Oryzias latipes: one gene and its partner. The protein of the gene in region 1 purifies or fractionates together with the protein of each later gene. This does not show direct contact. Links are inferred from orthologs where the notes say so. Each region holds a gene or a part of one and is shown in the gene's direction. Other genes may lie near its edges.

Region 1 (3,819 bases):
TGTGACAACTGTCCTGTGGTGTAAACAACAGCAGTTTATCAATTGGGCGCATATTTGACCCGAAGATTGGATTCATTGGACAATATAACCACATTACGATTCAGGTAATTTACACAAATAGTAGATACAACTCTTGTGTTTTACAACTGGTAAGGCACGTGGGCAAGCTGGCTAATGCTAACGGTTGTCCTATAAAATTGTACTACAGTTATCCGTGTTTTGACACAGGAATTGCATTCTAAGTTACTCAAGCAAGGGTAGTGCCGTTACTGACTTGCACAAATATCACATAAGAAGGTTGGAATAGTTTTTTTTAATTTTTTTTTTAGAGCCAAATCGTGTTTACCTGTTGTCTTTTTCAGTTTGGCTTATAGTAAGTTAATTTAGACTACGTTGACGGGATGACTAAAGAATTGTTTTGTGTTTCTTGTGTATTCTAAATATTTGTTATATGTTTTATATTTGGAATCGGTTACTTTAAGCAACCAAAACAAAAATAGAATTAAGAAGATAGACCACAGAAATGTATGTGTATATATCTTCACATAGGCATATCTAACTTAGGATGGTTGTTCATGAACTGATTAGAAAATGTATATTCATACTTGTACATGTAGATGTAAATCATTCAAATATAATTACTCTTAATCATAAATGCACGTGCTAATTTCAGATAAAATTCTTTGAATGATTGCTTTTAACAGAGCTAAGTTATCTCTGTGGATTCTGAGTCGTTCTTTATAGAGTCGAACTGTGATCTTTCAGATCATCATGCCTTCCGCCTGCGACCCCGTGATTGAAGATATTGAGGACATGGTGTCTTCCACGGACCCCACCCCCCATGAAAGACAGTCTGCGAGAAAGAACATCATACCAAGGCCCAAGAAGAAGAAAGAGCTTCTAAACGACGAAGAGCTCCAAGCTGACAGGTACGCCAGAATATGCTTCATCTGACTTCATCTGATCTGAGTTTGAAACTGACAGTTTCTAAAGATTGTACATGTAGACTGAAGGACTTCAAGTATTCATTAAAAATAGTGCGTACGTTTATGTTAAACATGGGCCCTGTGGTGTTTGTCTCTAGACTTTAGTGTTCGTGAACGGCCATGTCTGAAATGGAGGTATGTTTCAGGGTATGTCAAGTTGCCATGGCAACTCATGCTCTGAACATAACCTGGTCTGGAGCAGGTTTAGTTGAAGGTTAGTTGGTTTTCAGAGAGGTGAAGAAGCTTGGCGTGTCCATTTGAAGATGATTTAGTGGATGATGATGAAGAGTCGGTCAACACACTCTTAAAATGCATTTTAGACATTGAGTCATGGATGGCAGAGAACTTCCTACAGCTAAACCAGGACAAAACAGAGGTTTTAGTGATCGGTTCTAAGGACAAGAGAGAGATAGTTTTATCTAAACTAAAGAATTACAAAACTTCTCAGTGTGTGAGAAACCTGGGTGTCATTTTTGCCTCTGCGATGAATTTTATCCCACAAATTAAAAATATCACAAAAACAGGATTTTATCATCTAAAAAATATAGCCAGAGTCCGCCCATTTCTCTCTCTTGCCAGCACAGAGGTGCTAATGCATGCTTTTATTACCAGCAGATTAGATTATTGTAATGCTCTGCTCTCTGGTCTTCCCAGAACAAGAATAGCAAATCTTCAACTGCTGCCAAATTCAGCAGCACGCGTTCTGACGAGGACCGGGGGGCGGGGACACATTGCACCGGTTTTAAGATCGCTGCATTGGCTCCCTGTGCAATTCAGAATTGATTTTAAAGTTCTTTTATTGGTTTACAAATGTTTTTATGGTCTCGGGCCTTCATATTTATCTGACATGATTTTAAAGTATGAGCCCTCGCGGACCCTGAGGTCCTCTGATACAGGCCTTTTGGTTATCCCAAAAGTTAGAACAAAAACGTACGGCGAGGCCTCATTCAGTTTTTACGGACCTCGCCTGTGGAACAGCCTCCCAGAGAGCCTCAGGGCTGCAGAGACAGTTCATGTTTTTAAAGGAAGGCTTAAGACCTACCTTTTTAATTTAGCTTTTAGTTAAATTTTAGGATTTATTTATTTATTTTTTATTTATTTTTTTCTTTTAACTAGTTTTATATGTGTATGTAAATACATTTATTTATGTATTCTATTAATTTTTAAGTTGCTCTTACTATTTCATATGCCTATTAAGGTTTATGTAATTATTTGTTTTTTGTCCATGTTTTATATATACTTAAATTTTATTCCTTTTACATTTTATTACACTCCAGTGTTTCCCTCTGAGGGATCCTCCACATCGGTGACTGACCCTTCTCAGTGAACTGCTGCAGTGGGATCTCCTGGGTCTGACTCTTTTGATCGGATCTGGGGGGTTCTGTGGTAGTGTTCTCCGTGAACTTGGGTTGGGGGGTCGCTGATGTGGACATGTCCCCAAAATATCGTTTCCCCACTTCAGGACAAAGCTTGGTCTCTACATTCTATCATTTTATCACTTTTTTATTTATTTATTTATTTTTTGATGTGTGTGGGTGTGTGTGTGTGTGTGTTTTTGCGGGGTGGGGGTTGTCGCACGGTTTGTCTTGTCATCTTGTTTTCAAATTTTATTGTTTTTTATGCACAGCACTTTGAGTGACATATGTTGTTGAAAAAGTGCTATATAAATAAAGGTTGATTTGATTTGATTTGATTTGATGAAGAAGCTCAGATAATACTTTTTCCACTGTGAGAGGGTGATAAGACCACATATGGATGTTGGAAAAATAAACTATGTTGATCTAACTTAATTATTTGCTTCAGTTAAGATAATTAAAAATCATTTTTTTGTTAAGTCAGTTTAAAAATAACAATTTGTTTTCAGACAGTTATTTTACTTTCATTCAAATTAATTCAATTAAGTAGGTGTAACTTTGGTGCTGCTGTTAGATCGGCACCGCAAGGGATTGTGGGATACCATTCCCTTTGCCTCTCTGGACGGATTTGGGTTTAAGTGTGGGTTTTTGACCAAATGTGTTTAGTTGTTTAGCTGTTTTACTGTGTTTTGCCGAGTTACTTTGTCCCACTTTGCTCAAGTCTCTGCACCATGAGTAAGAGGGAGGGAGAGGATGATGAGTTTATATAGCACCCCTACAGCCAAATGATGTAATGACAATGTCGATGAATTCTTAAATGGATTTACTCTCCAAATGTGTATCGTTCTGTTCTTTTTATTGTTATAAAAATGAGCATATCTGCCGGCTCAAACTTAGACATTTGAGAGTTCAAGAATTATTATTCCTTAAGGTGGAAACAATAATAATTGAATTGGAGTAATATGACATTTAGTTAAATAAATCTGTAAATTTGAGTTGAATAAACACTAATTAAGTTTTATAGACCTAAGAAAGTAGGTTGAATAAATTTAACTCAATTACTTGTTACCAATAGTACCAAGTAATTCATTTAAGTTGGCAAAATTGGATACGTTTTAAATATATGCTTCACAAGGAAAATGGAAATAAGATCAGAAACTCGTGCGTTTACTTTGTCTGTTCTTCTACTACAAGCAAAACTCTTTCTTCTTCGGATGCAGCCGTTTTACTTTTTTGATGGACGTATAATCTTCATAGCCGTCATTAATCTCAGACTCAGTCTCACTGAAATATAGCGCTCTCTTTTTTTCACCACGCGTTTCCATGGTGACTCCAGAAATTGGCGTTCCATTGAGAAGGTTTTTATGTACTTGACGTGCACCCGCATTAACCCAGGGTTACCAAGTCGAGCGTAATTACGCCAACTCATATCTGGTCTTTTGGAACTGACACACCCAGAGTAAGCAAGTTCAGGCGGA
Region 2 (3,819 bases), on another chromosome or scaffold:
TCTCCTCCACTTCCTGTTTTCCGGTAAAGGTCTGCTCCGTGCCGTTTGTCTCGAGGTCTATCTTGACGTTGTTGTTTTTTGTCTCTCAGTCGCTGATGCTTGCAGAGCGAGCGTGTGTCTACAACATGCTCACCAACCTGATGGAGACCAGGGAAGCCGGTAAGAGTCTTCCTCAAAGTGAAGGGGTTCTGTGCTGCCCGTCCCAGGAGATGCAGAGCCATCAGAAGCTTTATAAAGAGAGAGGCGCTTCTAGAGTAGAGGATCTAACCTGATCTAGAGGATCTAGCTGACATTTGTGAGACCGTGCTCTAGTGGTCACTTGGTGAACTGCGGGTCGCTCCAAACCAGTTTAGGCTTGTTTGATAAACTGAATTAATGATTTGATTATTTAAATTCTTTCTAATTTCTCCAATTGTCAATAACGTTTGTTTATAGTATCCATACAAATATCTGACACTCTATGCGTTTGGCGGTCTCTCACGTCCTCTCAATCCTCCATTCAGAGCTGAAGAGTTTGGGAGCCGACTTTGTCTTTGGTTTCGTCCAATCAATGGACGGCGAGAGAGACCCTCGCAACTTGCTGCTGGCCTTCAGGATCGCCAGAAACCTCATCGTCCAAGGATACGATCTGGGTGAGAAGACCTTCCTCCCCCCCCGTCTGTTGGTGATGTCACGGTTTCCTTCTCTCAACCTTCCTGTCTGCTGTCTCAGGTAAATTCGCAGAGGAGCTCTTTGAAGTGACTTCCTGCTATTTCCCCATCGACTTCACCCCGGTAAGTTCCTGTTGACGACGTCTGCAGACCGCCAGAGAAAACTGTTGCTCCTCCCCCCAAAAAACAAGTGTGATCTGGGCATTCGTGCTCCTCATTGGGGTCTCCATCCTCTCCTCTCTGGAGAAAAATCAGCTAAAGTAAAATATGTCGCTCTATTATCTTCAGGATCTGCTACATGTCCCTCTCTCTCCCTGTCTGTCCCTGCCACCCGAGAGCTGCACAAATTCATTAAAAAAACACGCTTTTGTCATAACGGTGCCTTTTATGTACGTTTGTCTCCATAGCAACCATTTCAATTTTTGGTCGTTTGAGGCCGACGGACAGATCAATGTCATTTTTAGAGGAATACATTTTTGGATTTCCTTAGCAACTGAGGTTTTTTGTCAACCCCGCCCACATTCCTAATATGTTCATATCTACAATGTCCTGGTAAAAAATGTGCGAGCAAAAGTTTAAGTCGCACTGCCCCCATCTGAAAATCGCCCAATTTTACACTTTGCCACCTTTTGCCATCCCATAATAATTTCAAAACTTACTTTAAATATCCCTGACATGTGTGTTTTGGTTTTGCCGGGTTTTTTTTGAGCCCCCGGAGATTGTGGGAGTGTCAGCAGCAGTGTCTGCAGCAGCGTCTGCAGGAGCGTCTGCAGCTGTGTCGGCAGCATCTGCAGCAGCGTCTGCAGCATCTGCAGCAGCGTCTGTGCAGATCTCTGACATGGTTCTCCAGGGTTCTGACATCTGAACTCTTTAGATCAGGACGCGATTCCAGGATAACTTTTCATCTAACCTGTCCTCCTATTCTTTTTCCAAAACCCCCTCCTGGTCCACTGCAGCCCCCCAACGACCCCCACGGCATCACCAAAGAGGAGCTGGTTCAGGCTCTGAGGGCCGTCCTCACCGGAACGCCAAAGTTTGCCGAGGTAACGACGGCGGGTCTGCTTCTTCTGACTCGATCCCCTGAGCAAACATTCTCCGGCAAACGTTTCTGTTCGGCTTCCCACAGTTTCTGTTCCCCCTCCTCATCGAGAAACTGGACTCAGAGGTTCAGAGCGCCAAGCTGGACGCGCTGCAGACTCTGGTGAGGAGACACGCCGTGACGCTGAAACAAGACACCAGTTTTCCTCCAGTCTCGTAAAGCAGCACAGTGCATAAACCCGTGCTTTTACTCTGAAAGGGTAAAGGGCGGGAAACCTTTTTCTGCAGAAAACGGACGTCTGAAGTGAATTTTTATTTCTTAATTTTATTTCACCTTTATTTACCGAAGAAATGTCCCATTGAGATCAAGAATCTCTTTTTCAAGGGAGTCCTGGCTAGAAGGAAACAATAAATTATATCTACAATAAAATGTAAACAATTAAAACAAAATAAATAAACACAAAAGCTGATTCAGCTCAGACATGCTGATGTTTAGATCTGCTGTCGCTGCAGTCGTTTGTTTTTTAGTTTTGGACAAAAGAGGAGATGGAAGAGTTCTGTGACGAAATAAAACACATTCTATTAGAAATCCTTTTCTAAACTATCTGTTATTTTGGGTCTTGGCTTAAAGAACCTGATCTTCCGGTGAACTCTCAGACGTTGCTTTCTTTCCGCAGAACGCATGTTTGTCGCGCTTCGAGCACAAGGACACGGCTGAGTTCCTTCAGGGCCTGTGGTCGTCGCTGCGTCGAGAGGTCGCCACGCTCACGGATTCAAACGTTTCCTTCCAAATTCAAAGCTTTTCGTGACGTGGCGTTGCTGCGACGCCTCCTGGCTGCCGCTCAGACCTCGCTCTTCTCTGCAGGTCTTTCAGACGTCCAGCGAGAAGATCGAGTCTGCAGCCCTCGCCGCCCTCGCCGCCCTCACTTCCTGCCTGTCTCGCTCGGTGCTCAGCTCCGAGTCGGAGGACGTCCTCGGACGCTTCCTGGAGGTCGTTCTGAGAGGTGAGCGGCGGTGAGATCGGCCCTCTGAGTTCAGGTGGATGCTAAGGGGAGTCGTGGTGGATGCTCCTGGTTTTTTTTAATAAAGCCAGGCAGGAAAAAAACTAAATTAAACAAGATAAACAGTATAGGGATATAAGGATATTTTTAAATGTAATAAGGAGAAAAACATGTCATGTAATTAGCAGGTGTTACAGAAATTCTCTTAAGGCTTTTATCGTAAAGCTAATGGTAAAAAATACATTCAGGTTGAGCAAAAACTACAAACAACTTATTATGTTTTTAAATTAAAACATTAATCGTGTAAAAATACTTCTGCAGACACAAACCTTTGCTCTCAAACACAAAGGCTTCTGTAACCATGGTAACAGTGTGTGTGTGTGTGTGGGGGGGGGGGGGGTGTGAGGGTGTGTGTGCGTGTGTGTGTGTGGGGGGGGGGGGAAACCTGTTTGAACACAGGCTGCTGAGAAACACATGTTGACTTTCAGTATAACAAATCTAAAAGCACAGAGCTGAACCGGTTCTCTAAACAAACCAGAAGGGGTCCAAAAAGACCCGCTCGGTTCTGTTTCCTCCGGATGAAACCGAATGTTGAGCTCAGAGAAACGGCTGAATGTTCAACACAACGGTTTGTCCTTTGGAACGAACCAACAGAATAGATGTGATCTAAAACTGTTTCTACAGCAGAAAAAGGTTTTTCCAAAGTTAATGCAGAAATTGAATTTACCTGAGTTCTTTATTTATAAAAATGACGTCAAACTGTGCTGACGTCTTGTGGCGAGGCCTCATTCCGGCGCCGTGGGCCTCGCCTGCGGAACTTCCTGAACTTTCTAACATTTTTTGTTTTAGCTTTGATTTGAAGTAAATTTGACACTTTCTAAAGTTTCTGTTAACTTTTAGATTTCTGGTTGATTTCATGGACCGTCTCTTTTTTGTTTGTTAGATCTGCGTTTGTGGCGGACTATTTAGTTATTTATTTGAGGTGTTGTCAGACCTTTATAAATAAAGTTTTATTTGAACTTTTTTTGTTCGATTCTTTTATGACTAAAGTTTAATTTCTGCCTCCAGACTGTGAGCATCACCTCCGTGAGCCGGACCTGAAGCTGGTGTGGCCCGCCGCCAAGCTGCTC

The links.
Region 2: the proteins of cdkal1 (region 1) and mms19 purify together in Homo sapiens (affinity purification with mass spectrometry; 4 studies listed by BioGRID and IntAct, counting the BioPlex papers as one, with this or other methods). This does not show direct contact. The link is inferred for Oryzias latipes from reciprocal best matches to the Homo sapiens genes CDKAL1 and MMS19.

The regions. Positions count from the first base shown.
Region 1 is NC_019874.2:11,062,972-11,066,790, forward strand, and holds part of cdkal1 (threonylcarbamoyladenosine tRNA methylthiotransferase), read left to right. Parts: exon of another isoform or gene 1-104; intron 105-273; exon of another isoform or gene 274-297; intron 298-765; 5' UTR 766-771; coding exon 772-929; intron 930-3,819. UniProt on the Homo sapiens protein: Catalyzes the methylthiolation of N6-threonylcarbamoyladenosine (t(6)A), leading to the formation of 2-methylthio-N6-threonylcarbamoyladenosine (ms(2)t(6)A) at position 37 in tRNAs that read codons beginning with adenine.
Region 2 is NC_019877.2:1,645,698-1,649,516, reverse strand, and holds part of mms19 (MMS19 nucleotide excision repair protein homolog), read left to right. Parts: intron 1-89; coding exon 90-159; intron 160-503; coding exon 504-632; intron 633-711; coding exon 712-773; intron 774-1,606; coding exon 1,607-1,693; intron 1,694-1,776; coding exon 1,777-1,851; intron 1,852-2,365; coding exon 2,366-2,443; intron 2,444-2,553; coding exon 2,554-2,692; intron 2,693-3,757; coding exon 3,758-3,819. UniProt on the Homo sapiens protein: Key component of the cytosolic iron-sulfur protein assembly (CIA) complex, a multiprotein complex that mediates the incorporation of iron-sulfur cluster into apoproteins specifically involved in DNA metabolism and genomic integrity.